Mytilus edulis: one gene and its partners. The protein of the gene in region 2 interacts with the protein of the main gene of each other region in a pairwise test. Links are inferred from orthologs where the notes say so. Each region holds a gene or a part of one and is shown on either strand. Other genes may lie near its edges.

Region 1 (11,409 bases), on a different chromosome or scaffold from region 2:
CTTTTGTCTGCTGGAGGATCCCTCTCTGGAAACTGCAATGTTTTCTTTAAATCAGCATATTTATCTCCACCATTTTGAAATATTATGTTATTCAAAGGATGATCTTCATCTGTTATACTGAAAAATTGTACATTACAAACTTGACTTTAGATCAGTTGAACTGAAATATTGTACATTACAAACTTAACTTTAGATCTGTTATACTGAAATATTGTACCTTACAAACTTAACTTTAGATCTGTTATACTGAAATATTGTACATTACAAACTTAAATTTAGATCTGTTATACTGAAATATTGTACATTACAGACTTAACTTTAGATCTGTTATACTGAAATATTGTACATTACAAATTTAAATTTAGATCTGTTATACTGAAATATTGTACATTACAAACTTAAATTTAGATCTGTTATACTGAAATATTGTACATTACAGACTTAACTTTAGATCTGTTATACTGAAATATTGTACATTACAAATTTAAATTTAGATCTGTTATACTGAAATATTGTACATTACAAAGTTTAACTTAAATTTAGATCTGTTATACTGAAATATTGTACATTACAGACTTAACTTTAGATCTGTTATACTGAAATATTGTACATTACAAATTTAAATTTAGATCTGTTATACTGAAATATTGTACATTACAAACTTAAATTTAGATCTGTTATACTAAATATTGTACATTACAAACTTAAATTTAGATCTGTTGAACTGAAATATTGTACATTACAAACTTAAATTTAGATCTGTTATACTGAAATATTGTACATTACAAACTTAACTTTAAATCTGTTATACTGAAATATTGTACATTACAAACTTAAATTTAGATCTGTTATACTGAAATATTGTACATTACAAACTTAAATTTAGATCTGTTATACTGAAATATTGTACATTACAAACTTAAATTTAAATCTGTTATACTGAAATATTGTACATTACAAACTTAAATTTAAATCTGTTATACTGAAATATTGTACTTAAAAACTTAAATTTAGATCTGTTATACTGAAATATTGTACATTACAAACTTAAATTTAAATCTGTTATACTGAAATATTGTACATTACAAACTTAAATTTAAATCTGTTATACTGAAATATTGTACATTACAAACTTAAATTTAGATCTGTTATACTGAAATATTGTACAATACAAACTTAAATTTAAATCTGTTATACTGAAATATTGTACATTACAAACTTAAATTGAAATCTGTTATACTGAAATATTGTACATTACAAACTTAATTTTAGATCTGATATACTGAAATATTGTACATTACAAACTTAACTTTAGATCTGATATACTGAAATATTGTACATTACAAACTTAAATTTAAATCTGTTATACCGAAATATTGTACATTACAAACTTAAATTTAGATCTGTTATACTGAAATATTGTACATTACAAACTTAAATTTAAATCTGTTATACTGAAATATTGTACATTACAAACTTAAATTTAGATGCAAAATATTCAGCAAAAATATGACAGCAGAGTCCAGTGAGTATCATTTCATTCCAAAATTTAATCGTTTTTTGATGAGAAAAAATAATGAAAAAAAGCATTGAAGTTGTTAAAGATATTTGTGCCGTTTAGAACTAGTTAATACATTTAATATTAAAAATCTTACTCTGTCAGTTTAGAACACAGCAGGATATATCTTCAATTATGTAATAATGTTCTTGTATTTCAATAAATTTAAAATCAGGTTTATTTTGATACTGAAGTTTATATATATTTCTGTCTATTTTTTAATCTTGTCTACTTCAGCTTCCTGTGTGACTGTGATCAGTGTTATATACATCTTTGTTCACCATTATTATACACCAAATATTTTACCTTAGTGGCCTATCTGTACTTGGCCATGATTCATCAAAATGTGAAGAACCAGATTCATCCTGGTTAGCTTTCGGTGTGAATGAGTTACCTCCCTTTAAAAAAAGTTCATCGTTATAACTTAGTCTTTCGTCTTCATTCCGTTTTCTGGTACTTGATCTAATTGGACTGATAGATGTCTAAAAGTAAAAATACAACACAAATTATATTACTTTGTATTAAACCAGTATCAACAATAACATATATATATGAGCTTTCATTTCAATTGGAACTTTTTCATATATAATAACAACCTGTACTTATAAATGTTAAACATGAAATTAAAAAAGGTAAAGGTTGCTGCAAAACTAAACCTTTTTTTCATTCTTCTGCAGCTGCATATATAATTTATATCTTTTCTAAAAAAATAACCATCCTTAAATGATATTTTTTGTAAACAACAGAATAAAGATACATTATAGTTCAAGTCAAGATTATTATTTTAAACTCTAAATTAATCCCACATATTTTGTTTGCCAAAATCCTTTGATTACTACTCCTTACAAGTTACATAAGAACACTATATCCTAATCAAAATGTATTATCTCAAAATGTTTATGTAAACAACTGAATATAAATTCATGCATCACTAAAAATATATAATTTCAATTCCTAGAAAAATAAGTGCTAATCATCAAATTGCATATTTTTCTTACTTATCATTAAGAGTATGAAAATGAGTTTTGTCTGTTCTTAATCAGGAATTTGGTCAACTTATGTCTAAACGCCGCAAAGGGCTATATCCTGCCTTAAGTGTCTGTTGTCATGGGAGACATTTCTTTCTGTAGACTAGCATCTGAAAATGCAGCTCAGTATGCCAGTCTTGTGCAAAGGTTTCATATTCAAATTATAATCATAAACATGTTCTGGTCCTGATATTCATGTAATATTTGCAACTGGATGTTAAAAACAACATGTATGTTCATCCATCCATCAATCGTGTTATATCTTTAATACATGTATGTCACTTTGTGATAAGGGTAGTGTGTAGTTGGTGGGAGATTTTTGCTTGTCTCTGTTTTATTCACATTTAGTTTTAGTCATGCAATCATATATCTTAGCCTGTTACAGACACATGACACATGCAACTTAATGAACCATGAGTTAACCTCAAATGGTTCACATTGTATTTTGTTTTTTATGTGTTGTTGGTTCATTGCCTTATTTCCAAATATGATATCCCAAAGTATTCATTCTTTAAGTGTTTATTACCCCTTTATATTACAAGTAAATACAAATATGATACACACTCATGCATCACTTACATGTAGTTGTACAAATACATGTAATAGAATTTATAAATTGTAAAAAGGTATACTAAATAAATATATATAATAATATACTGATCTACATGTAACAGACAATACTAAAGTTATGGAAAATTACACAATAGGACAAAAACTCTGAACTTAAATCCATTGCCCTGATTTAGGTCTTTCCCTGTAAAATATATAAAACCTAAATCACTTATAACATTACATATAAATGCTCTCTAACAAATGCAAATATTGATAAATTATTTACATAATATTATTAGAAAATCTTAAGTGCTTAATCATAAACATACTTATACATGTTATATGGAGGCAGACAAAAATCTCCAATCTTATACCCACTTATCTTCTGTTTAGGAAAAATTTATTCCATCTAATTATCATTTTTCCAAATTTATTGTAGTATTCTTTAATCTTATGTTTCAGTCTGCACGGTTCCACTAGTCATATGCCCCAGACTACGAAAATTTTGTTCGGACTAGTAAGTTTTTGCAAAACTTTGTTTGGCTCAATAAGAAAAATGTCAGAATATTGGTCTTCAGACCCCAGTAGTTGAAGTTTTTGGTGCAGACTGAAATTTTCATTAATCATTTTGGTCACACTTTTTGTTCATTAGACTTTTCTTCCTTTAAATATTAAAACTGAATACAAGTACATGATTATTCCTACCTTTTTCTGTTTTTCTGAGAGATTTTTCTTTTCTGATGGATGGTAATGTGCTTTAGGAGGTGGATCTACATAGAAAGGATCTCTGTATAATAAAAAAAATATAAAAGAACGGTAAGTACACTATCATTGATTAATGCATACTTCCTATTACAATTAATAACTGGCATGACTGGACTAAAATACCCCTATTTGTACAAGGTGTTACACCCACTCTTTATGTAGTATGGTTTAACAATAAAACAAATCTAGACCTGCCAATGGTAACTAATGCCCCTATAATATACTTTGTGAGTAAGAGTTAGCTATGAAGGCGAATCAAAATGTCCAAATTGACAAGAGTTGTCGTTTTTGTAGATGGTCTTCATTACTCCTATAATCATGATAATTAGCAAAATACATGTAGAACATAACGTCACAGTTCCCAAATAATGGCAAATACACCTTATCACTATTTTTAAGTCTTTTCTGATTCAGCCCTCAAAGTAGCCTTTGAAATGTAGTTGCCAAATGGTCACCAGACATGAAAATTTAGTGGCAAATGCAAAATTTCAGTGATAAGGCAATAATTTCAGAATGCTTGCATTTTTCTCTATCTAAACAACCAGGCTTGTGAAATAAGAGTATTAACATGATTAAGTTTCTGTTCAGTGATTTTTGCGTTCTAGTGTAGAAAATAGTTTATATAAATCAACTGTACATTAACTACATGATTTATTTAATTTTATATTCGTTGTACATGTTTTAAAACAGTCTGCAAGGTTAACCGGTAGTCTGAAGCTCCAGTCTAGTAAAAATCTCACTGGACTTGTGCAGTTTCTAAGCACTATTGATTTCCCCATTGGTCGGGGACATTGTTTCAATCCATTTACCATGTTTACTGACGAAATCGAGACACTGCTCTACCATGTGCTTTAATTTCAATAAACACAATCTAAAAATGCCAATGGTTTTCTTTTAAATGGCATGCAATTGTCAAAGTTGTAACTGAGTGTGGAAATATGAAGATAGATCATTAGATAGATCTGAGCCATTTTCAGTCAACGAAAATGATCTACAATTACCTGATGCAATAAAGCGCTGACAATGTCCAGCATAATTCTAAAAGGCACTTGAAATATTGTATTCATTTGTGTTACATGTCAAGCACTCAGACGGTTTTTAAAACTCAGCTCCGATCAAGGCAAAATTTCAGAAAATTTACCATTTGACAGATTTTCAATATTCTAAAAGCTTTAATACACCTTTATATCGCTAATCCTGGCTGACCCGGGGGCTTGAACTTTTGACGTCATACACAATCACTTTTCTATTGTGGCGTCAGACATTTCGTTCATGGTGTCAAAACTTTATGGGGAGTTGGGGACCTGAGTGATATCCTGTAATGGCTGACAAATAGCGATTAGGTGTATGGCGACAAGTTATGAATTTTTGGTCGCCAATCAGCTTTTAAAAAGTCACCCAGGCGACCACTTCAGTAGACTAAATTGAGGGCTGCCATTGACCATGTTGACCCCAGGATCTGACCCACTTGTACTTTTGTTGTCATACAACAATCACTTTTCCATTGTGGCGTCAGATATTTTCTATTATTTTTATGGGAACTTTTTTGATGTCCAGTGATTATGGTGGACAATTAGCATTAAGGTGTATTGCATTCATATTACAAAGATGGTAGAATAAATTCCTTAAAAAAAAAAATGAAAAACGTGACTTGTCAGGATACTTAAATCATTAACATTTATTTTTGACATTTTGAGAATCTTTAATATTTTCTCTGAAACTAAAAGTGACACACAAGACAAGTTTCAACAAGATTATAAAATGAAATATTTTAAAAACAGTAGTGTTGTGCTTGTGATGAGAGATGCTTTTAAAAGTTATTCAATGCAAAATGGTATGCCTAAACCTTTTTGGAGTTGGCCTCGGCTGAGAAATCATGACAAGTCGATTTCTAGTTTGAACATCTCTCTACTTCGCCGCCATCTGTAAACAAAGTGAGGATTTATAAAAATTCCAAATCTTATTGTAAAACGAACAATATGTTTTTGTAATTCTTTTCGCCAGTTCTTCATAGGTGTGATTAAAATTCTAAAATAATATTGAACCTGGCTTTTCAATACAAATTAATTAAAAAATACCAAATTCAATTCCAAATATTGGTTTATGTGTTCACTTTTCGTTTTCTTAGACGACGAGCATTAAAATGGCTGCGAAAGGAAAAGGCAAAACACAGGAGCAAATAGTTGCTGGTTTTCAGGAATTAAGACAACAACAAAGAGCTGTTGCTGGCAAAATATCAGAGCTTAATGGAGATTTAAAGGAACACGAGTTAGTTCTCCATAATTATTTCTATATAACTTGTATTTTAACCACGTGTTTAGATGAAAAGGGGGAGACAACTTTTTTTTAGAACTGCATGGAGATGATGTTTACACTTGGTAGTAACTGTCATCACAAAATCTTGTGTTATCAAGTTACTGATATCAAATGAAAACTAAGTTTCTTGTCCAAAGATCTAATAAAATCGATAACTCAAATAATCACAGCTCTCCTTTCGGTCATTGTTCCCCAGGTAACAGGTCTGTTCGGAAGCAAGTTAACTCGTACCATGTTAACTCGTACCAAAAAAGTGAACTCGTACCACTGGGAAGTCGTACCACTGCAAACTCGTACCATCAAAAATATATTAAAAATTACGAATATTTTATGGTATTTTTTTGTAAACTTTATAAAAATAATGTTGAATTACTTGAATTTTATACTGGATTTTAATAGACAAAAATACGAATAAAAAAGCTTTATTTTTTAAGCCCCAGCTTTAAGCTGATCTTTCAAAGTAGTTATAATCCAGAAGAAAGTAAAAGTAAAACATTGCTTTAACTGTACCTTAAGTTGAATATCTATATCCAAATTATCCAAATTAAATCAATTTATGCTGTAATCCATGATCACAAATCGAATGCTATGTTTACGATTGTTGAAAGCCATGTGCTTTTTGGCGGGAAAATTCGGGAACAGGAAACAGTTACATTTCATTGTAACTTGTTATTTATAAATAGTAAGAATTTCATTTTTGAAATCATTTTGATTAACTGCTAGGATTTTTTCATGAAGAATTAATTTGGAAGGATTAAAAAGTAAATTCAATAATTATCAGTAAAAGTTTTGAAAAAGAGTCAAAGGCGACAGCAAAGCAAATCTGCCACGGTATTTTCTATCTAATAGACAGGGACATGATTAGCTACAAATTAGTCATTGTACTTTCAAATTATATACATTTTACAGACCTCCTGAGAGGTATTGAGTGAAAGTAAATAATATACATCATCAAAACCCATTTAAATGCATTTAAGTTGTTACGAGTTAGCAGTGGTACGAGTTTGCATTGGTACGAGATTTTTTAAAGTGGTACGAGTTGACGTTGGTACGAGTTTACAATGGTACGGGATAACTGTAATTCGTCTGTTCGCCCTAATAACATGTTTGCTCTGCGTACGTACTATACAATCACAGTGACATGCGCCAGAATATACAATCATTGTAAATAGTGAACACCTGTTGAAAACACAAGATAGTCATTAATTTATTTTAATCTTTAATTAGTATGCATAAACATGATAAATATCATTAATAAAATTAACGGTACCAATTTTCTTGCACCAGATGCGCATTTCGACAATACATGTCTCTTCAGTGATGTTCTTGGCCAAAATATTTGAAATCCAAAGCTTATATAAAAGATGAAGAGCTATAATCCAAAAGGTCCAAAAATTATAGCTAAATCTGTGAAAGAAATCAGAGCTTTGCATGAGGGAGATACATTCCTTAATTGATAATAATTTCTATCATTTTGTAACAGCAAATTTTAATAACACAAAAAATCAGTATTTTCATGCCAGTACCGAAGTACTGGCTACTGGGCTGGTGATGCCCTCGAGGACTAATAGTCCACCAGCAGAGGTGAGGCAATACACTAAATAAAATATATTGTACAAAGAGAGTTTTAAAAAAACAAATTATAAGATAAATATATTATTGTTCTAAAACACAAGGAAAAGTAATCTCATAATACAACAGGGTAAACGTAATACTGGCTGTTATACATAATAAATGGTAAAATATGTAACATATTTTGTTCAAATACTTAAAATTATGCGAGTAGACAACTAACTCGAATGATTCAGCGCCCTCTATCGGTCAGTGTCCTTTCAATGTAGCGATCGATAGTGAGTCGGAATATAATGACTGGTTTATTCGGTTTAGGAGAAAAAATTAGAAAAAAATGAAAATCAGGGTGAATGGACCCTGGGCGAACAGGTATCATGGCGAATGTGAATCAGGGGGAACAGACCCTAATTCGTTCTCCACTGGCACTGCAGAGAAGAGAGTGAAATAATGACTTGATTATTTGGGTCACCTACAAATGTACATTTAAAGTAGTTAATACTTATAAGGGACTCACTAATTAGCGACAAGCAAACCTGCCAACATTTCAAAATGCCCATCAGGGTTTTACGTGCAAGAAGGAGGTCATAGTCCTACAAAAACTTTAAAGGCCTAAGGGTGGTCTGATATCTTGGTCTGCTTATTGTTTAGTGAGAATCCAGTATCCCGCTTCTCATTGCCATAATATCGCATGTAATTTCCCATGTCCTGTCAGACTATTTCCTGTTTTTATACTTGATTATTTAACTTGCATTTATCACGCTTGAAAAAATCAGCCAATCCTGTGTCATGCTTAGACCCGAATGAGACTCACTTAAAGGGGCCTTCAAATTTATTTTAATGTTGTTAATTTGCTCCTTTATGCTTTTTAAATGCTATACCAATGGTAAAAATGATTGTTTTGTGTGAAATTGTGGAGAAATTGCTATTTCAAAATTTCCAATTCAAAGCCTCCATGGGGGAAATCCCCTGCAAATAGTGACAGTTGGCAGGTGAATATATTCTGTGATTGAAGCACATTCTTCAAGTAATATATGTATGTTTAATACAATAATACAACAAAAATTTGATTAGAATTTATTCAATAAAATATTTAAATATTTATTAATATTTTTTTTTCAGAATAGTTATAGATACATTAAAAGAAACAGAATCTAGTAGAAAATGTTTTAGGATGGTAGGAGGTGTGTTAGTAGAACATACAGTAGAAGGTGTATTACCTGCATTAACTAATCATAAAGAACAGGTGAGTGTATACATATACATGTAGTGGGTACATTAAACTTTCTGTAAATCAGATACTTAACATGTATACATGTATCAGCAAAATACAGAAACTCACTTATCTGCAAAAAGTCATTTTTCTCTGGTTTGAAAGAGGTACATTCAGTTCAAATTATATTTCTGATTCTGTGAACACTCAATGTTTTCAAAATTCTTTGAACATACTGCACTTGTATTTGTAAATGAATTCAAACCATTTAAACTGTACAGGTATATAATTCTCATAACAAAAGAAGATCTTGAAAACAACATCAGATCATTCAGAAATTGTATTAAGAAAAACAAAACTTTCTTCTCAAGATTGTAATAGCCAGACTTCAGGGTCTACATGTATTTCCTGAATAAAAAAAAACATTGAAAATATCTTATTTTTGTGAATATTCCTATCTGATTTGCCGATATATACTTATATCTGATGATTGATTACATGATAAAGTTTACATTAATATATACATGATATAGGAAAGGGTTTGGTGTTTTGAAATAATATTGCTATACACGCATATATATTTGTTTAGCTGATATTCAATTAGATGGAGTCTATTGTAAATAATTGACATTTAAGGGGTACTAATTTGATGATCCACACTCAATCAAGCTAGTTTTTTCATGGTTCAATTATGGTAAAAAGAAAGCAACTTTCAGCACAAGCACTTTTAAGATGTTTTCACATTGCCAGCAGATTTTAATGTTTTAATTTCCCCCAAAAAACCCAGTTCGAATGAGCATGATGTGTTAAAAAGTTTCATTTCCTTTCTTTAATATTGACAAATGATGTAAATATCAGAATGTCAGATATTGAGAAAATGTTTGTTTACATTGAGTTGGCATTAGTATTTTCTATTTAATTAATAAACCAGATGCTCCGCAGGGTGAGATTTATAGAACCGCAATGGTTGAACCCTGAACCGTTGGGGCTAGTATGGACACAACATTCAAGCTGGATACAGCTCTGAATTTGGAATGTGATCAAATAGTTGACACAGCATAGGTTTCTGACACAGAATGAATGTGGTCTAATGAACTTATAAATAATTTTTGCTTTTGAGCAATTCACTATGCTATTGAATATTAATCCTCTCAAAAAAAAAAAAATTTGGAGAAGTTTTCTTATTATTTTCTGAAATCTGAAATGAGAAAAATTGAACCCCCCCCCCCCATTTTTTTCTTCACCTCCCCCTTTCCCTTATTCAAAAAAAGATCTGAATTCAAATTTCTTATGGAGTTTGCAACAATAACCACCCATTTAAATATATCATAAAATATCAAAATGTAAAATGTCATACAGTCATGGTTAAAATAAATATTAATTAATAGTAACTTCTAAAAAAATAGATGGGGAATGTATGCCCCCACTAGCATATAACGTTATAAAAGGACACAACTCGAGAACTGTAAAGGTGAAGCTGCCAAAAATGGAACTTTAACTGAGTTTAGAGGTAATAAGCATTATATACACATTTCATTAAATTTAGTTGAGACAAACTTAAGTTAAGAGAACAGAAACTAAAAAATTCTTCAATTTTTCCATTTGTAAAGGGGCATAACCCTCGAATGGTAATCTAAGTGCTTGTAATCAATGAATGGTAAAGACTGCTTTAATTTATCAGTTGGTAGTAAAGTGAATATTGCATTGTATATGTATATACTATATAGCATTGATTTAAGTTGATTCAACTACTATTCTGGACAAAGAAAGATAACTCCAATTAATTGTCTTGACACTACAAAAATGCTTGTTTTTGGCCCCTTTTTTGGCCCTTTATTCCTAGACTGTTTGCCCCATTACCCACAAAATATATCCCAACCTTCTACTTATGGTATTAAACATTGTGGTACAATTTCAGAACAATTGAATTACTTCTACACAACTTTTTGTACTGACACCAGATAAATGCTTGTTTTGGACCCCTTTTGGGCCCCTAATTCCTAACCTTAGGGACCATATATAACCCCCAAAATCAATCCCAAGCTTCCTTTTGTAGTTATAAACATTGTTTTAAAATTTTATTGATTTCTTTTTACTTATACTAAAGTTATTATCCGGAAACCATCCGTCTTCAGCCTACGATGACGAAGACGATGACGTGATACCAATATATAATCGCAAAAATTTTTGGGGTCGTATTAAAATCTGAAAATACAAAATGTTTGTCGTAAGGGTCGTTTTTACTTGTCAGGCGTCATATATATATCTGGATATATATATATATGCAAATTGAGTGTATTGCGCAATAAAATTACATACATCACTTATTTTAAAGAACAGTTCCAATTTCCAACTCTAATAATTTTATTTCTTTGCAGTTAAATAAGATGGTAGAAACTTTAACGAAA
Region 2 (10,577 bases):
TAACCCCCCTCCATTGGAGCAATTACCTCCAAACTCAATCCAGCCTTCCCTTCATAGTAAGGAACCTTCTACTACAATTTAAGAGAGATCCATACACTTATACACAAGTTATTGTCTGGAAGCTAGAAAAATGCTTGTTTTTGGTCCCTTTTTTGCCCCTAATTCCTCCTTGTTTGAGACAATTACCCAAAAACTCAATATCAGCCTTCCTTTTGAGATATGGAATATTGTGGTACAATGTCAGAGAGATTCATGCACATACACACAAGTTATTGTCCAGAAACTAAAAAAAAATGCTTTTTTTTTTAACCCTAATTCTTAAACTGTTGGTACCATAACTACAAAAATCAATCCAAACCTTCTTATTGTGGTATTGAACCTTCTTGTAAAATTGCATAGAAATTCATTCAATAAATTAAAGGTATTGTCCAGAAACCAAAAGTGTATTCAGACCACAACAACAACAACAATGACGATGCAGATGACATCATAGCACATTACAGTGCCGTTTTAGCGTCGCGGTACTGCGACGCTATAATAATTTCTGCGACGCTATAATTATTTTCAGGATGTTATTTTTCTCGTTTGTATATCATATGGCAAAGCCATGTCCTAAATTTTGAACTTTCATCTAATTACCGCTTATGCAATGTTATGATCATAAAAAATATATCACCTTTAATCCCTTCAAGTCAGACAATAGACAATTAAGAGTGATTAAATAGATGTTAATTGCCCTTTGGGGGATTACTGTTTGGATAGGAATACCCCAAGCTGTCACGTGTGACATGATTAATACCACGTGGTCAGCAAAATATTACAGTAGTATTACATTCTTTCTCTTCCTATCACTTTTTGTAAATCGAGAGTGAAAATTTTGATTATGAGCTAAATAAGTTTTGGTCTTTCTTTAGAAAGTGGTCATTATTGGCTTTAGTTTAGGTTTCATTCATTTAATGCATTAAAAACGGCATATTCATTCCAAATCTCTTGTCAAACATTGTTTATTTTCGTATTTTTTATTTTTCATTGCTTTCAGCGGCCATTTAATATTTTAGTGTAAACTAATGATCGGAACCGGACCAGATATGACAAAAATCCGTATTTTACAATAATAACTACATTTGCACAAATGGCAAAGTAAACCAAATATCTGAGACCTATTGCTTATAGTATTTGAGAATTAACCATGAAAAATTTACCTTGTTCGCTGATCCATGAAATGAGGTTGAGGTCAAGTGAAAACTATCTGACGAGCAAGAAGACCTTGCAAGGTATGCACATACCAAATATAGTTATCCTATTATGTGTATTACTCTTAATAAGACAGAAATTAAGAATACTAAAATCTATGAAAATGAGGTCAAGGACAATGGACATATGACAGATGGAAACTTCATATCATAAGGCTTCTATATATATACAAAGTATAAAGGATCCAGGTTTTCTGCATTCTGAAATATTAAGATTTTAAGAGTTTAGCTAACACCACCACAGCCACTGCTGGATCACTATCCCTATGTTGAGCTCAACAAAAACTAATTCTATGTTTTTAATTTCTCTGTCATATTCAATGTTTCCTTGCATTTGTTAATGTTTGCTTCTCTTTTTTGCAAATCTAAAATAAAAACGTTTCATGGATGCATGAAAAGAAACTATAAATAGATATGCTAGACTTACCTTCCTTGACTGTAAATGTTTAACTATGTCTAATGAAGTTTTAATGTCTGGGATCTGTTGTTTCAATCTGAAAACAAAACTTCTTATATCAATTTTACATTCAAAATGACTAATTAATCAATCGATTGATTAATTAATGTATTTATAAATTAATTTATTGGTTAATAAATTGATTGATTTAGTATTTGTTTTGTTTAGGTATTTGGTCTATTTATGCCATTTTGTGTTTTTTTATTGAAATATTTATTTGTTTTTAGTGATTTTATTACAATGTTGACATTTTTATCTTGTCTGTTTGACTCACACACTTTTGTCAAAATAATGGAATTATATGCTACTGTCATACAAGTGAGAGGATGAGTAAGCTATAAAACCTGGTGTAATCCACCAATTTCTACATAAGGAAAAGCCTGTACCAACATTTGACCAAGTCAGCAATATGACTGTTGTTATCCATTCGTTAGATGTATCCGAGCTTTTGATTTTGCTTTTTCATAAAAAAAGTCTTTTCATTTTGAATTTCCCTTGGATTCCCGTTTTTTTTTTTGTTATATTACTTTTCTTTCAGACATAATATTCTATATAAATTAAACATAATATCATGTAAACAAACCTGCTTTTCTTTGTTAATATATTATATTCCATAAATTTATATTTTCTATGTTGTTCATCCAGCCTTACTAAAACATTTTCAGCTGATTCATTTTCTTCTCTCTTCATAAAACTATCAACATCTTCCTGAAAATACATTAAAAGCAAATATATATCTTCCCAATAGAAATAATGATGTGATAGACATGTTAGGTATTCAAATGTTTAAGGGCATACGATACAGTTACAGGGAAGGTAATGACGTTGCTAACGTAAAATGTTATTTTCGCGACGTCAAACTATGACATATCGGGGAAAGATGCATTTTTCGACTGATTTTTATCATTCAAACTGTTTTAATTTGAAAATGAGTGCATGGACCCCTATTTTTTAAAACTGCAATTTGTTTCATTTTGCAAGGAGATTATGTGACCCAAATTTTATAAAACTGTAAATAGCGCATTTTTTTTAATTTTGATAAACATGCAGCAAAAAATGACGTTTTTTCCTCTATTCATGAACATTTGATAAATATGGAGTTATTTTGGAATAAAATTGCATAATTTTTAATGATACTTATAAAATACAAAAATTACCGATTATTTAACAAAAAACAATTTGTGTTTATCTTTTAAAACAAAAAAGTTATGTCTTTCTTTCGAAAAAGAAAATACGGACACAAATCTGAATTTTGAGCAAATATACAAAATTTCGACCTCATTTTACTCAAAAAGTAGCCCATGAAGGTATATTTTTTATTAAATATTTGATTTAATCAGATAAAAAATAGCCTATATATGCAAATTTTCATCAACTTGTAAATACAGGTTCAAAACTGTATCGTATGCCCTTAAACCCGCTGCATTTGTTTGCACCTGTCCTAAGTCAGGAAACTGATGTTCAGTTAGGGTCCTTCATAGCTTGCTGTTTGGTGTGAGTCAAAGCTCTGTGTTGAAGACCGTAATTTGATCTATAATGGTTTACTTTTACAAATTATGGCCTGGATGGAGATTTGTCTCATTGCCACTCATACTACATGTTCTTATATCTATATACACATTTGACTTTTGGACAGATATTCTGTTATTAGCGAAATAGAATTTAATGAATTGTAGTACAATTTTCTGTAAACTGGCAATTCTAAAAGTAATTGAACATGTTGGTGTATCACATTTGAATCAGTGTAGTGTAGCTCTAAATTGCTTATTGTACATATAAAAAAGAAGATGTGGTATGATTGCCAATGAGATAACTCTCCATAAGAGACCAAAAGACACAGAATCATGTACATGGCTTTCGATCTACGTGGATAAGAAAATGTTATTTTCTAACAGTTCATTATTATTGATTTCCAATTAAAATATAAAGCACAACAAATAAAAGATAGGTAGGGAACTATGAGCAGTAAATTACACAAATACTAGAGAAGTGGAACATATGTCAACAAGACAGCAACCCAACACAAAAAAATATGAAAAATGAATATTTTTAACAATAGTTTGCAAAGTTTACTACATTTCAAGCTCTTCATCATTAGACTCTCCAAGTCAACAAAAACTTATGAATCAAAGGAGAGAGTATCCTAAATCTGACAGCAATATTGGCTAAATGACAAATAAAAGTTTATTATAAAGATATAAGCAGATATTGTGTGAGTGTCAAAAAGACTAAAATTGCTAAATTAATAAATTCAAAGCTGATGTACCATAACAGAGAGGACGGTGCATCAAATTGACTGAAATGTTATCCAAGCAATTCCTATCAAACTATATCATACACAGAAAACATTGAAAATTGGTAATTAATTCTTAGTCACTGGACCATGACAACAATGGCAGGGTCTCAAAATAGTTGAGTTTGAGTTTTGTTGTTTTAACGCCACTTTTAAGCACCACATTGGGGCTATTTCTTGGTGGAGGAAGCCGGAGTGCTGGTAGAAAACCACCTACCTTCCATTGGAAAACTGACAATACTTGACAATTAACAATGGAGTCGAATGCACCCGCACCAGCGGGGTTCAAACTCACAACCTCAGTGTTGCCTGGCTATAGTGATTACAGCAGTAACTACTTAGACCACTCTGCCACCCAGGCCCCTGGGGTCTCAAAATAAGGCAATGATTTTTTAATTTGTTGGTTTACGGATCCGCCGACTCGATTTTGCCGATTTGCAGAATAAAAATAAAATTGACTTTTCATGCTTTTTTATTCCCGCCGACCCTAACAAAAACATTATCTCTAAAAATAAATAAAATTGACTTTTTTTATGAAATGAAATGCATTGAACACTAATGGAATTGATAACACTTTCTGTTGTGAATCTAAAACTTCCAATTAACGTATCTAAAAATAGACAAATCACTGACTTCAGCAGAAAAAGGTAACATTTAAAATTGCTAATTATTCAGTCATAACCATGGGGGCAGGGCCTCGACCTTTTGTTAATCTGATGTGAAGTGATAGTAATGCAACTGTCAAAAAAAATATAACATTGATAAATCACAAGAAGTTCCTAAAAAACAGATTTCAGCTGAATTTCTTTTCAATACACCTTATCGCTAATCCCGGCTGACCCGGCCGCTTGAACTTTTGACGCATACAACAATCACTTTTCCATTGTGGCGTCAGATATTTTGTTTTGAGACGTCAAAAATTTACGGGAACCTGTGTGATATCCAGTAATGGCGGACAAATAGCGATAAGGTGTATTGTTGATGTCGCCAACAACTGCCTCGCTCTAGGGGACTTTCGACTCCTACAAGACAAAATTCACACATCCTCGACCAGGCACAACAAGACCCCACTCAACATATGAATGAAAGAAGTATTGCAACCCAAGTAAAAGCATTAGGTCAATATAGAAAACTGCTGCATAATATCTAATACATTTTTCTGAATACATTCATGATCTATGTCAATAATCTACGTGCAAAAACCTATTAGTAAAAATGAAATAACCTGAACAAACTATCAAAAAATATATAACAGAGATCACTACAATTATTGAATTCGTGTTTTATTACAACTGCATCATGACACAACACGTGGGTATAAGTTTTTGTTTGGTCATGAATGTATGTCTATGGGGATAAATAAACAATAACAAATAAGTTTTTCAACTTGAAGGGTAAATAATGTTTCGTGTGTGTTGAATAAAGTGTCATACTACAAATTCTGCTAAAGGAATGCTCGAATTCGCCTTTAATTCTGATTTATCTGCAGAATCTGCTTTGGAATCACCCGTAGCCATGATGCTTGCTGAAAATAACGTGTATTCGGAAGTCTTCTCGGCCTTGTGTATCAATACACCGAAAACTACCGATAGATACGAGAGGAATTATAAATATGGCGATGTTGAGGGTAATGACTGAAAAATATCCTTCTTTGTTTATATACAAATGTGACACATATAGAATCTTCAAAAACAGTTTACGATAATGTCCAGTCCTTATGTCACATTATTATGTAAACAGCAGTATTTACCCTTCAGAATCGAGACAGTTCAGATTATGTTTTAAAAAATTATGTTGAGTGTTGTGCAATTTTTATTATTTTTATATATCTCTACGCCAATTTAACGTGAAACATAATGGTAAAGTTACTTCATATTTAACATTTAAGTCACAGCTTGTAAATATAACACCCTTTAAAAATGTTTCATAAAAATTCCTCAATTATAATATTTACCCATGATATTTACATACACCTTATCGCTAATGAGGGGGGATAGGACCTTTATTGGGACTCCGGGATCGGCTGTTTTTAAGCTCGGGATTTCGGGATTGACCCTTTCGGGATCCGGGAATTCTTTTTTTCGGATTTCGGGATGCCGGGATTTACTTTCTTTCATTTCGGGACCTCAGGATTTAGTCTTTTTGAGCCCGGGATTTCGGGATCAGGACCCCCCCCCCCCCCCCCCCCCCGCTAATACTGGCTGTCCGGCCGCTTGAACTTTTGACGTCCTACAACAATCACTTTGCCATTGTGGTGTCAGATATTTTGTATTATGACCTCAAAATTTTATGGGAACCTTTGCGATGTCTAGTAATGGCGGACTAATACTAATAGGGATAAGGTATATTATTAAATTCGGAGTAAAAGGCTTGTATATCATCATTATACTCCTCTGTTCTGTACTCCATATATTAAAAATCTGTTGTTATAAATATCAACCCAGTATATACATGTAGCATCATCCATCAAAAAGATTAAATTATGTATAATGTTATCGCGTATGAATTCATTTAAATTTACCATAGGCGGATTCAGGTGGGGGCCCAGGCCCCCCTTTCGTGGGAAAAATTTGTTTGATTATATAGGAAATCATCAAACCATGACTGGAGCGGGCTCCCCCTTAGGAAAAGTTCTGGATCCGCCTCTGTTTACTTCTTTATCATGCTTATTATAAAATCTGACTCGAAATTTGCGAACTTTCCCATAAATTTTCTGTTATTATGATTTTTATGTCGCAGTAAGAACTGATTGACCTTGTGTCAACCGGTGTAATTCATTCAAAAAAAACAACTGTTGAAATCAAGATTGGTGTTCACCAAATCACTTCGAAATATTTATATTTGGTTTGCTTTATCATGTCATCATGTGAGAAGGAATTATATTATGCTTTTGACAATCATATGTTTTCATCTTGCTGTTGCAGGTACATGAATATTTAGTGTTTCATTCCCTACATCATCTTGGAACAGAAAATTCATATGTAGCATACTTTACACTTTACAATACAGTAGTACAAAGACTCATAATTTTGCCATGACCATGATGAAATTTTTACTTTGACAAAGCCTAACTCATCAATTCAATTTTTCTGTTGTACATGCATATATACTATTTGAACTTCCATGACTCCATTTAGAAAACTTATGATAATATCACCTTTTTTTGTCATTAATGATGATTTCTACACACATCTTGTTAAGGCCAGACTTTTTTTATTATCTGTTTAACGAGATCCGCCGACTCTACCTTTCCCGATTTTAGAATAAAAATAAAAGTAGTGCTTCTTACTTTTATTATTATTTTTCCCGCCGACTGTTACGAAATCCTCAGAAAAAAATAAAATGTGTTGTTCACGATACTCGCTTTCAGTCAATTTTGTTATCGGTAATATTTAATTTTTACCAAGTCAACGAAACAGCAATTTTCATTTAAAAGTAAAGAAATTCAAGGCATAAACGATATATTTTCTTCTAAAAGATTTTTAAGCTGGTGGCATGCTTTTCATACTTGTTACACGAGAGCGAACATCAAATCATTCTAACTTTCGGCAAAATCAGTTATTACTTCATCAGAACTTGATGAAATTAGCCTAAAGTAAACTTGTCATCCATGTATTGCATTAGAAACGTCATATTCCTTTCCAAATAGCATATCAAACATCGTTTATTTTTGTAAATTTTTCTTCGTCTGACATTTAAATTTGTAGAACTAAGGATCGGAATCGGGATTTCATCGGAAACTGACCCGCTATGACCGAAATCCGGATTCTTGCGATAATGACTACAGACGCATGAATGGCACTGCTGACAGACAAAAAATGATCCCAAAAGGGAAAATTACGCATTCCACACGCATTAACATACTTTTGGTTAGATCTTCTTGATTAGTGTATATATTTCCATGTATAAGCATTGTTTCAATTTATAGGTTAAAGTAGCTTAACTCTGGGACTATTACACCAGAGACATATATACACATGTGTATATATATGTCTCTGTATACACTAAGAGGTTCCTGACTGGGTGACTGGTATATACATATATAGTGTATATGCAGCGAGGTTGATATATTTGAGTGGTGCCATGGATAGTGGAAATACAGAATCAAAACATAGTTTTTATGTTTATATTAATAGAAGGGTTAACCAGAGACATATATAAACTATATGTATTTATATTTCTCTGGGTTAATATACTGGTCTGTTCTCATTTCATTGTTCTTGTATTTTGATAAATTCTAAAAAAAAAAAAAAAAAAAAAAAAAGTCACTTATAATGGTTTTATTTTTATTTTTAGTGTCGACTGGACCAATTTTGCACTTTTATTTTTTTTTATTTCGCCCCCTCGACCCTAATTTTTTACAAATTTTCTCGTTAAACAGATAAAATAAAAAGTCCGGCCTAATGTTTAATTACTTTGAGTCAAAGGATCTTGATATACCTTGGGACTTGTCTGTTTTAAAACTGATGAGTCGAGTCTAAATGGGTCAAGGACTCATGGACTTGTCTTGGTGGTAACCATGCATGACCCAATTTGTTTCTGTGTAAAAAATGTATATGATTAGGGATTATAATTAACTAACTGTCAAATCTGCTTTTAATATATATTTACTGAGAAGCGGAACTAGGACTAATTTATAGAGAATGAACTTGGGCAAGTTATTGACTTTCATTTCTGTGGACTCTGTTATTTTGTGATGTTTTCATGGATTTTGTGGTTATAGGTCATGTAGTTAATTATGAATTTAAATGTTAATCAAAGAACACATTTTCAATACTAAGGCTTGAATGCAGAATTTGGCAAAATCACAAAATCAAATATCCATAAACTTTATAATTGTTCAATCCACACAAAAATGTATGAATAAAAAGTATCCATAAATAAAAATCTGTTCTCAAATAGTATTGGTTATAATGTTAATACATAAACACATAATACGAACAATGATTTTCATTTTTTTCAGCAAGGACAGTCTCAGTTTGAGGACCGATGGCCCTCCATGAGACCAACTGCCTTAAAATTACTCAGACAGGAACCAGTTACCAAAGCAGAATGGCAGGATCTGTTCTGGTAGGGTTTCCACTTAGTTTTATATTCTTATAAGTAAAAAATATTGTTAACACTGTTATACTATATTGAATATAGTTCGAATAAAATGAGATGTATGTTAGTTTTTTTAAGACATGCAACCTTACAATACAAGTCATCTTGACATCCAAGATTAGGTACCATTTTAGGTATTTATAGGATTTCTAGGTAGGCTGATAAAAAAATATTCATGGTTTTATGATTTCCTTACTAAGGTCTTTTCTTAAAAAAACATGTATCTTGGAGTAGTATTAATATTTTTGAAAGCCAATATACCATTTACACAGCTCAAATACCAAGCAATATTTATAACTATAAACATGATAAAAGCAGGCTGGCAAATAATCAAAGCCAATTAAAACAGTTTTATGTAACACCATGCTTAACACTATTTTGCTTTTTACAGTGCAGTACATTCAGTATGCCTTTGGGATGACAAAGGTCCACAGAAGATGTATCAAGCTTTACAAGATGATATACTAGAATTCATACAGCATGCTCAATCAGTAAGTTTTGTCAATATTGCTAAACGCATTGTTTAACAACTACATTTATTACAGAGTTTGTTTATAAAACTTCTAGTTTAATCTGTCAAGAAAACCCTATTTTTATCAGGGGATGTTTTTATGACCCACCTACGATAGTATAGGGGCATTATGTTTTCTGGTCTGTACGTCCGTTCATCCCGCTTCAGGTTAAAGTTTTTGGTCAAGGTAGTTTTTGATGAAGTTGAAGTCCAATCAACTTGAAACTTAGTACACATGTTCCTTATGATCTTTCTAATTTTAATGCCAAATAAGAGGTTTGACCCCAATTTCATGGTCCACTGAAAATAGAAAATGATAGTTGTGTGGGGCATCTGTGTACTGGGGACACATTCTTGTTTTGTAACTGTTGTGAGTTGTTGTTTTATGATTCAGGGATCTCGGTCATAAAACTTTACTCAGTACTCAGACTGCTCAATAATCATACTCAAAATGTTTATGACAACAAGCCTTATCCATGCCTTTATTGATTCATTCTTGTTATTATGCAACACTGAAAACAAACCATACTAACCATTATATCTGACAACAGGAATCACAAAAATCACTGGACAGCACAAAAGACATTAAAAAAAAGTAATACATACAAACAAAAGACCAACATTTAATTAATTAGCAATGTTGCCAAATATCAGATCGTCTTTTTCTTAATTTTGTATTGACATTTCAGACATGCCTCTGTGTCAACAGTTTATTTAATGATATTTTGTCAGTCGTATATACTATAGATGGATTTAATTGATGACTGTAATGTGAGACTGTTTAGTTATTAGGATATCTCAATTTTATGAATTTTTTCTTTCAAAACCAAACTGAATTTGAACATGTATTTAATTCAGTACATATATGCATGATATACAAATATAGGTAATGAGGAAATATATTCTATATTTTCCTCTCCCAACAAACTCAAGGTGGCCATTTTGAAAATCATTGATAAA
Region 3 (10,958 bases), on a different chromosome or scaffold from region 2:
GATGTCATTTACTGTTGTCAATTATTATTATTATACATGATATGTAAAGCAAGGTTGTTAGAATAAACAATTAAACACAAATATTATTGTTATTTTAAGCAATTGGGTGAAAGATACATATAGACCTATATGCGTTATTGCCATCACTCAGTATAACCCCATTTGGACGATGCACTCGACACAACCTTAAAAAGATGAGAGTTAAACAGAAACTTAACCAAAAAGCAATCTTAAAAAAATGATAGTTGTTAAAAAATTTACAAAAAAAAAACGCACCAAAGAATCAATGATAACCCTAAACTCTTGGGCGTTTTTATAATAAACCTTTAGTGCCAGATCGATGTACTTCAGTATAGTCAGTTTCACAAAAAAAAACTATGTCTAAGATTGATCGTAAGCCGTGCACAATTCAATATACTTATGATCAATCTTAGTCGTAAGTTTTTTTTTTGTGAAATCGACTCCAATCCTATACTCTTTAAGTTGAAATCTTTACAAGTGCAGTTATTTTTCATGCTATCGCTCTATAATATAAGATATTCGTAAAAATACCAATGTGCATAAATCCATATAGACATTTCACTTATGTTATTTAAATATTGTGAAAATCACACGTGAATGTTAGCGTGTGTGCACATTTCAGTCCAGCCTGGTCTATTTAACTTGAAAATCACCCAACCTGCAACTCGACTGAAGTTTTTTTTAGGGAAATAGGAATAACATGTATGTGTTTTAAAGACAAATTGATGAAAACTAGCTAGTAAGGAATGAAGAAAAACAGTTATCTCTGGTACACACTGGATGGAAAAAAGATATTTAACTTTATCTTGTTTTCATATTACCGGTATGTGTTCCTGTGGTTAAATGTAAAAATATTAAAAGAGCATTAGCTGTCAAATTCTTGTTCACCGATTTGACTCAAATTATAAAAAGTCTAACATAAATGATTTACAATGCATGGACTCGGTAATATCTATCAGCGTTTCGTGTGTTAGTAATTAAAGGTAATTAATCATCAAGGTGACCTCTGAAAACTTGCAAGTGCATAATAATCAAACTATGGGGTGTACGGCGATTGTTGGGCGTTCAGGCAGTTAGCTTCATCGTTTTTGTGCAATAGCTTATAAAACCATTAAAACAATGCTTATCAAAAATTAACATGTTGTTATTGATGAATAAAGAGGTCAAGCTCGATATTGATGATTTTTCACATTTGCCCTTCGATTAAGAGCGATGGTCTTCATTGATTGGAAAATGGCATTTATGTCGTTTGAAATCGTGTAATAAATGGCGAACCGTTTAACCGATATTTTTCAACTTTTTGTATGTTACAGCCGATTGCATTGGGTGTAGGTAAAGGAAATAATGACTTCACGGTTCAGCTAGCTAGCAAGCAAGCTAAGCAAAGATATTTCCTTTACCTACCTACTCAATGCAATCGGCTGTAATTGTTGCAAATTATTTTTTTTCAATTTGGAAATTGCTGCCCGAAAAGTTTAACATCTGTCTCTCCGGAGTATTGGGAGTATTTGATAATATGAATATAGCACTGCATGTGATTATTGTTTCCGTGCAATAAGATGAGAACTTTTCAACTATTGTTTTCTTCTTCATCAAATTTTATATGACTTTTGTTATTACTGTTGTCAAAATAAAAGCAATTTTCAATTTTGTCGTTCAGGCCATGATTTAGGACCCTTAGAGCCTTTAACAATGACACTTATAATGGTAATAAGATAACTCGGTTTGTTGTCATTTTAACAGCCTCTTGAAGTTAATTTTGTAAGTTTATGGTCAATAAATATGTAAAAGTTGATAAAGCCAACAAAACTCATAATTCCACAATTTAAGTTTGGTAGTGGTTTTATGGAGAATAACGCTTTAAATTTTTCTTACATAAGAAACCTACTTTAACTTTATCTCCACCAAATATTTGCGCGGCCGACGAAAGTCAAGAACTCTGTAAGTGCTCGTCTTTATACTGAAATTAAACTTAATGTTGGTTGCTTCAATGATTGAATTATTCAAAGCTTAGTGACTATGCAGAGCGCATCTATCCGATCAACTCGAAATAAAGGATACAACAGGATATACCCCATATATCATTGATTTTATTTTTGCTGGTCATATCTGAAAAGGTTTATTAAATAAGACAAAATAATAAGATGTAATTTTATTATTTTACAGTTGCGTAATGTTCAGCGGCAAATGTTTCGTGCGATCATTGAATCTACGGCACAGAACAACTGCAACGCTATTACTTGCATCAAACTATGATGCTGTCTACTGAAGTTTAGGATGCATAAAACTAGTCGTTCTATCAGATTTATAAATTTTCATGATGAGATCTGCAATTGTTAAAGTAAACACCGACAAGTTCGACTAAGGTTGTGGACAGCACAGCACTACATACATAGACACAAGTCAGGTCATCCAAAAATGACAACTGCTTCATGCGAATCAGATACGAATCGCTACCACACACACGTGCTAAAGAAATTAAGTGTGTAGTCATTGGGTACAAGACTCAGATACAGGCATTATATCTGGGTACTTTAAGATGGATACGTTTTGGATACTGTGGTTTATTTAGTTTAGTTTAATTTAAATAAAATGTTATTCAAATAAATTGAATTGGTTTGTTTGCATAACATATTGTTTAAATTAAACTAAACTAATAAGTAACTGTAAAATGATTATTTTGTCTGACACTGTATTAAATGTGGATACTTTATGGATACTGTTAGTTGGATACTTTCTGGATACTGTTAGTTGAATACTTTCTGGATACTGTTAGTTGGATACTTTCTGGATACTGTTAGTTGGATACTTTCTGGATACTGTTAGTTGGATACTTTCTAGATACTGTAAGGTGGACTTTTTAAATACTGTAAAGTGTCTACTTTCTGAATACTTTCTAGATACTGTAAGGTAGATTCTTTCTAGATACTTTCTGGATTCTGTAAGGTGGATGCTTTCTGGACTCTGTAAGGTGGATACTTTTTGATACTGTAATTTAAGGTGGATACTTTTTAATACTGTAATGTGGATACTTTGTAGGGACTGTAAGGTGGATACTTTCTAGATACTGTAGGGTTGACACTTTCTGGATACTGTAGGGATGACACTTTCTGGATATTGTAAGGTTGACACTTTCTAGATACTGTAAGGTTGACACTTTCTATATATTGTAAGGTTGACACTTTCTAGATACTGTAAGGTTGACACTTTCTAGGTACTGTAAGGTGGATATTTTCGCGAAGTCATGATTTCTTTTCATAAATGGTTGGCTTTGAGCGTTCCTGATGAAAGTAAATCCAGAAAAGCGGTGTTTTGCTTTTGCGCCAATTAGTATTTCATTTGCGCCAAAAAAATCTTTCATTTGCGCCACAAACAATATTTCATTTGCCCCAAAATAAAACCTTTTGATTGCGCCAATATTACAGGTAAATACATATAAATAGCATAAAACATATATTTAAAAAAAGACTTTTGATAATAAAAGCTTTTGTTTGCAAAATTAAATATATTCCTCAGAAATCAGTCGACATTAAACCAAACAAGTATTGTTAAACCTTAATGAAACAGAGTTCTGTTATTAATAAACGTTATCATAACACCTACTATGAAATATGAAAGACAACAGTTTACACTGGAGTTAATCTAAGCATGAAACACTATTGTAAAGTTATACGTCTACCCTGGCACCAAACTTGTAAGCGACGGCCTTGATGTATTCATGTCTGGAAAGTTCCTCCTCTCAAGTGCATACCATATTGATAAAAAAGATAGACCGTTTTTTTTTCATGAACTGCAGTCCATTTCAATTGTTATACTGGTTTTGCAAGGTTTTATTTATTTGGGATCCCAATAAACGACTTGGTCTTCATTTTTCAGAACGTATGATCTGAAAAAAAGTGTGGTCATCAAATTTTACACACTTAATTCTCCGCCTGTTTTATGTCTAAATAGAAAATGTCCATTTTGACACCTCGAACATGTGAACACTATATACAATTGTACACCTTAGTGACTCTCAACTTCAGAATTGAGTGTGGCATTGAACTCATCCCGTTATCCAGAGAAATACTGTAAAGACAAACCTTTTAGAGCAATGAATATTTAACGTTTCCGTTATTGCTTGCCCGAATTACCTGAAAATGGCGCAAATGAGGTTTTTATTTTTTGGCGCAAATGAAATATAACCTTGTGGCGCAAATGAAAGATTGTCATTTTCAAAAATTGGCGCAAATGCAATGCACCCCCAGAAAAGCGTCTGACTCATGAAATTATTAAACTTGTTATTTTCAACTTTGTAAACCAGTACTAGCTATAGTATATAAGCGATGTGCCACCAGTATATACCGCTTTTATGTCTAAATGAAACACTTAGAGGTTTAGCTAGCTATAAAACCAGGTTCAATCCACCATTTTCTATATTTGAAAATGGCATCCGTTTGAAAATGCCTGTACCAAGTCAGGAATATGACAGTTCTTGTCCATTCGTTTTTGATGCGTTTTGTTATTTGATTTTGCCATGTGATTATGGACTTTCCGAATTGATTTTCCTCTGAGTTCAGTATTTTTGTAGTTTTACTTTTTAAACTCAAAACAACTTTATAGACTACTGCATGAGTTCATACTAAATTTCTCAGTTTTATATGAAATGTATTTTTGATACGAAATAACCATTGGTCATCTACTTGTGTACACAAACGATAAAATGTATTTTAAATACTGTATACAGCTTGATTGAAACTACGCCTATAAATATATTGTCTTAATTTTTTTTCTGTCATTTTCTAATGGTTTATTTGACATTTATAGCTTTATCATTTTTTGGGAAAATGGAATCGAATAAAGTGTTGATGGCAGTTTTTCTGTTTAATTCAAACTTATATATACTGGATGTTGCCAACTAGATTTCTCTTGATTATTTTCATCTTTGGTTTGCTATAAATTTACTAACGGCAAAGATGACAAAAGAATTGATAAGACTGAAACATGTCAAAGTGGCTTGGTTCTTCATGGTGCCAAGAAATATATCCTTTACATTATTAAAATTTAGTAAATCTTTACTACACTCAAGGATTTGTATAATAACACTATACAAATCCTTGCTACACTGAAAAATAACTATATGTAATAAAAAGTAAATATTTCGAGACCTAATTTCTCTTATATATATTAAAAAATTATCAACAAATTGTTTGTGACTTTCTGTCCGTTTACCTTGGATAATAATGGGCCATTCTAATATTTAACCTAGTTATAGTTCAGAGACATTTTATTATTTTTAAGCCTTACACAACGAAATCGAGAACGAAATATAAAGCGCTGCATGATAACACTAAATTATACAAATGTAATGTACTTTTAAATAATTCCATAGAAATAATCCAAATCCAATCAAATCTTCCTTTTTGATTTGTTTTCCTTATTCAAAACAGAAATATAGTATTGTTGGATACGCCATGCAGTTCATAAGTGATCCTCCGTCTATCCATTTATTTTGGTCCGTTCCTATACTATATATATATTATATTTTTGTTTGGTCTTGAACTATTTCTGTCCACTTATTACTTCCCTTGGATAAAATACCGACATGGCGACACAACAAATCGACATCGCCCAGTTGCCAATTGAACAACTTAACCAATTGGCTAAACAATTAGACCAGGTTCAAACTTAGCATTACTAAAGTTTCACATTTATGTAACCCGCACACCAAAATTCGAAATAGAAATTACAATAGAATAAGCTTTTTGATCATTGTCATCGACATCGTGCTATTACATGAAATATTTTAAATAATTATATATAATCCTTTTCAGAATTCTATCGGGACCGATTTCCCATTTAACTGACCACATATTACATTATCAAGCCCATGGATCTCCTGTAGTTGGTGATCGCAATACTGGTATAAAAATTTTGTACCAGTATTGTCACTTTTAAAAAAACCCAGCAATACTGGTACATTACTGATGTACCAGTATTACCTGTAAGATACCTGTAAGATCGTTGTGGGGCTCATATGGAAGGATCCTATCCTTTTTAGCCCACCCTATTTTGGTACACTTTCAAAACTGATACAATCATCAATCCTGCATGATTTGGTGCAATATTTCACACAATTCTCAGATCCGGACATCCTGGCATTTAAATTTTTCAAGGGGTGATGCAGATAGGATTCCTCTAGATTTTTCATCTATTTGAAGGTGTTAACTGATTATTTATATTGTTGATTATTTTTTAACCAAAGGATATAGTATGATAAAAATCAAAATGGAGATATTATATAGTGTCTTTAACAATATTAAGTGGGTAAAATTACTAGATTCAACTGGTGTCAATATATATCAGTTAAATTAATTACATTGAAGTGTATGGAAAATCTAGAGGATTCTTATCCGCATCACCTCTCAGCATTGTTTATGTAACACATATATGCTAATCATTGATTGGTCAGTTACATGTTGTGATGTCACTGCAGATCTGAGAATTAAAAAGTTATATAGAAAACTATTTGTGTCCTCATCAATTTCTTAACTGATACATGACTGACTCCCAATGACAGTCTATACTAATTTTAAAGGCTTCCACAGTTTTTGATGAAATAACTTCAACTGGTAGGTTATTCCAATCATTAATAATTCGTTGTGAGAAATGTCTTAATCGAAAAGAAGTGTTACATCAAGGTTTTGCTAATTTCCAATTATGCCCACGGGTATTTGTACTGATGACAGTAAAAAATCTTTCATAAGATATATCTTCGAATCCTTTTAATATTTTGAAAGCTTGTATCATATCACCTCTTCGCCTTCTGTGAGTTAGGGAAGGTAGTTTAAGTACTTTTAATCTGTCTTCATAGCTTAAATGTCGTATATCAGGAATTAATTTAGTTGCTCTCATCTGCACTTTTTCTACAGCATTAATATCTTTCTTTAAATGCGGATACCATATTGTATTTCCGTATTCCACGTGTGGTCGTACCAACGCAACGTATAGTCTTAAAAATGTATATTGATCTTTAAAGATAAAAGTTCGGTTAATTAGCCCAAGTATACTATTGGCTTTATTTATTTTACTTGATATATGTTGAGTTGTATTATTGTAGTTGTATTATTGACTATACTTAAAGATTTAAAATGAAAAATGAATTTTGAAGCAAAATTGGATATTGAAGATCAAAGGGAGGTTAAATGAACTTGAAAAGATTGTAGAGGATAATCGTGAAATCTATTAACAACCAATTAAAATTAATTAAAATATATACTTGTACAAATAAACAAAGGATTATTGTTATTAACTCATATTATTCAAATAATTGTTAATTATAATATAAATATTTGCTAAAAAATTTATGATATTTCTATAATTTATTTAATTCAATTTAGATAGAAAATAAAAAATAAAAGCTTATTATCAGAGTTATTATTTTTAATAAATTCAAGCAAATAATTACACTTTAAGGTTCTCATTACTTGACGTTCAATTGAAAATGAAAGTAATAATCTTATTATTCATTTTATGTATTAAAAGACAAAATAAATCAAAGAACTATTTCATGTGGAAGTTTATAAAATGAATGTAGAAAAGGCTTGAATTGATGGGTCTCTGTGAAAATTGTCCAAACATGAGTAATTAAGGCCACAATAAAAAATATTTCAGTTTGCCCAAACCCGACAAATGATGACTGGGAGTGGGTAGGTAGGTAGGCAAATTCCTTTTTTTTTATCAGAATTTGCATGAAAATGTTAAAACAGTACAAATTCAATGTATATCTTTTTTTCCGTCAAACAATCAAAAACCAGAATTTAACACCTCTATAAATTAGTCTACTATATAGAATTAAATCACTCAACAATAAACTGAACTTTATTTATAATGTGTAGACTTAAACACAACATATAAACGTTAACACTGAGACTAAAATAAAAAATCAACATTTTTGTCCATATACTGAGACTTAGAATAAAAAATCAACATTTGAAAGGTATTTTTTTTTTTACAGTAAAAGTAGCAAACTTAAGTTTATTGTCAAATTCCTATACAACCTCAATAGGTTCACTCATGTCAGGCCCGAAAGTTTGTAGCCACTGTTGTTGGATACAGTAACAACTACGTCATCAGTTTTCTGCATGTCCATCTCATCAGGATCGGCATCCTCATCAAAAACATCATTCCAGGTTTTCCTTTTGTTAAAGCGGTGAAGCCTTTTAGACACAATAGTCTTTATTTTTTGGTTAATTTTAAGAAGTACAGACGACGACAGCGTAAAAAAACTGCCATGACACATGTTTTGCTTCTTTACTTAAATGTACGTTCATTAAATCAGAAGATAAATACCCAGAACATTGAATATCGATTAACTGCGTCTTTTACACGCTTTCTTTTAATCTTAGTCACAGTTACTTTCAAACGCAAAGACGACGATCATTAAGTTTTATACGATGACGGAGTGGACACCAAAAAATCTGAAGAAAAGAAAAAAAACGGCAAAAAAAGAATTTGAGTCAGCGTTGTTTTTATTTTAAGACAGTCAGATTTGGGCAAACATACAATATTTTTATTTTGGCCTAAAGGGTTGCAGGTACATGACACTTACAAAAATCAATTTTGAATTAAAAAAAAGTGATCATACTGAATTAAAGATTGAATATTATATTGTATAGATGTAGATAATTGTTGAAGAAAGACAATATTTTGACATCTAAAAGTTTCTTCTGTTTTGTATTGTTTGTTTGCTGTAGTCTCCTTAGTTGTGCTGTGCATGTGCTTTTATCATTAATATAGGATTAACTTAATGTTATATATGTTTGTTTTACTATATTTTCAGGAAATTGAATTATTCTCAAGTTCCATGAACCAGCTGAAGCATGCACAAAATAAGTTTGTAGAATCTCAAGAGAGTCTGAACAAAATTTCACCAGAAAGCTTGAGCAAAGATATACTGGTTCCTCTGACTGGTTCTGTATCCTATTGTCAAACTCAAAAGTTATTTTTATTTATAAAAAAAAAGTTTATTCAGTATTTAATTGCAAAATATTTTTTTGAAGATTGTCAAGGGAATACTGACTGTCCTTTGGCTTTGGAAGGGATTTGACAAAGGATTTAAACAAACTTCAATAGGTGTGCTTATAGTTTGTGTAGGACATTCTCACAGATATTTTACAGAAAGTTTAAATTAAACTAAGATTTCTTAATCATTCACATTAATACATGTATCAGTGTTTAAGAAAACTTAATTTTCAATAAAGCCAATAATTTAGCCACCATAAACATTTATCTTAACTTAATAAAGATATATGTACCAGGACAGCTGAGTGATGTACAAAATGTCATGGTTGATATAGGGACAGGATATTATGTAGATATGGTAAGTCTTTGTATTTCATGTACAAAATGTAATGGTTGATATAAGGACAGGATATTATGTAGATATGGTAAGTCTTTGTATTTCATGTACAAAATGTAATGGTTGATATAGGGATAGGATATTATGTAGATATGGTAAGTCTTCATGTACAAAATGTAATGGTGGATATAGGGACAGGATATTATGTAGATATGGTAAGTCTTCATGTACAAAATGTAATGGTGGATATAGGGAAATGATACTATGTAGATATGGTAAGTCTTCATGTACAAAATGTAATGGTGGATATAGGGACAGGATATTATGTAGATATGGTAAGTCTTTGTATTTCATGTACAAAATGTAATGGTGGATATAGGGATGGATATTATGTAGATATGGTAAGTGTTTTTATTTCATGTACAAAATGTAATGGTTGATATCGGGACAGGATATTATGTAGATATGGTAAGTCTTTGCATTTCATGTACAAAATGTAATGGTGGATATAGGGACAGGATATTATGTAGATATGATAAGTCTTTGCATTTCATGTATTATGTAAGCACAGTTACACACACACTATGTAGACACTGTGGCTCGGGTATTACGTGGATTGGTGATTATATTTCAAATATTGTATTATCATGATTATTAAAAGATTTTAAAAACTAAAAACTTTTTGGCAAAACATTTGCTTTTAAAGAACATTGCCTACCTCAACCTATATGCTTGATACATGTATGTTGAATAGAACAAATGGTATACTTTTGAGGTTACAGTAAAATCATGTAAAGGAATTAAAATAGAAGCCATAAATTTCTTGTCACCTACAAATGTATGCACATTAGTGTGCTTTTGATTCATGTCACTAATTTAAACTCATATCAATGACAGTGCTGGGAAGTTACTCATTTAAAATTTTAAGCACATTGAATCAAAAGTTAGGGTCACAGCATATTTGAATCGTTATTAAAAATATATGACAGCAAACAATGACAACAACTGAAGTTACTGAATTACAGGCTCGCTGCTCCTGATTTAGGATAAGCAAATACCATGAATATAGAATATTGTGGGAATAAATATGTTTGGAAGTGCTTATTCCTCACCTTTACATTGGACAGTGGTGTACAATCACAACATAAGAATAAACTAAAGAAATCAGTTGAAAAATTGCATGACTTATCAGATTGGCATGAAGCACCAAAAAAAAAACCCACAATAAACAAGACAAACAGTCAACTTTCCTGGTATTAAAGCATTACTGTTTGCCATTAATCTTGAACTTTTTTGAAGGATTATTCAGTAGAAATCCTTTATATTAAATTATAAAAGCTCAGATATCTTTTGTTATCCATGTTATCGTTTTACTCAGTTGTTTATTACCTTATTTGGTTTTTTTTCACAGGATGTTAAAAAAGGGAAAGAACATTTTAAACGAAAGATTGAGTACATAACTAAACAGATAGAAAAAGTACAACCCTTACTGCAGGAAAAGTATAGGATGAAACAAGGTAATAGTAACACAAGGCTGTCAGACTAATACTACTGATTGTATCAGAATTATTTCTGTCTGAGGTTTAAGAGTAGGATA

What was found. The genes of interacting proteins can lie anywhere in the genome.
Region 1: the proteins of prefoldin subunit 3-like (region 2) and prefoldin subunit 2-like interact in binary tests that used the Drosophila melanogaster proteins (3 or more experiments, as listed by UniProt). The link is inferred for Mytilus edulis from reciprocal best matches to the Drosophila melanogaster genes mgr and Pfdn2.
Region 3: the proteins of prefoldin subunit 3-like (region 2) and prefoldin subunit 5-like interact in binary tests that used the Drosophila melanogaster proteins (3 or more experiments, as listed by UniProt). The link is inferred for Mytilus edulis from reciprocal best matches to the Drosophila melanogaster genes mgr and Pfdn5.

The regions. Positions count from the first base shown.
Region 1 is NC_092348.1:41,976,293-41,987,701, reverse strand, and holds the start of prefoldin subunit 2-like, read left to right. Parts: upstream 1-6,012; 5' UTR 6,013-6,046; coding exon 6,047-6,171; intron 6,172-8,910; coding exon 8,911-9,034; intron 9,035-11,379; coding exon 11,380-11,409. Other genes in the region: cylicin-1-like, read right to left, coding at 1-117, 1,865-2,040, 3,844-3,925, 5,750-5,781. UniProt on the Drosophila melanogaster protein: Binds specifically to cytosolic chaperonin (c-CPN) and transfers target proteins to it. Binds to nascent polypeptide chain and promotes folding in an environment in which there are many competing pathways for nonnative proteins.
Region 2 is NC_092353.1:54,814,397-54,824,973, forward strand, and holds the start of prefoldin subunit 3-like, read right to left. Parts: upstream 5,591-10,577; 5' UTR 5,521-5,590; coding exon 5,437-5,520; intron 2,419-5,436; coding exon 2,294-2,418; intron 1,748-2,293; coding exon 1,681-1,747; intron 1-1,680. Other genes in the region: cullin-5-like, read left to right, coding at 5,616-5,630, 8,967-9,073, 9,498-9,597. UniProt on the Drosophila melanogaster protein: Binds specifically to cytosolic chaperonin (c-CPN) and transfers target proteins to it. Binds to nascent polypeptide chain and promotes folding in an environment in which there are many competing pathways for nonnative proteins.
Region 3 is NC_092345.1:32,216,961-32,227,918, forward strand, and holds the start of prefoldin subunit 5-like, read left to right. Parts: upstream 1-5,561; 5' UTR 5,562-5,605; coding exon 5,606-5,680; intron 5,681-8,842; coding exon 8,843-8,977; intron 8,978-9,307; coding exon 9,308-9,382; intron 9,383-10,772; coding exon 10,773-10,878; intron 10,879-10,958. UniProt on the Drosophila melanogaster protein: Binds specifically to cytosolic chaperonin (c-CPN) and transfers target proteins to it. Binds to nascent polypeptide chain and promotes folding in an environment in which there are many competing pathways for nonnative proteins.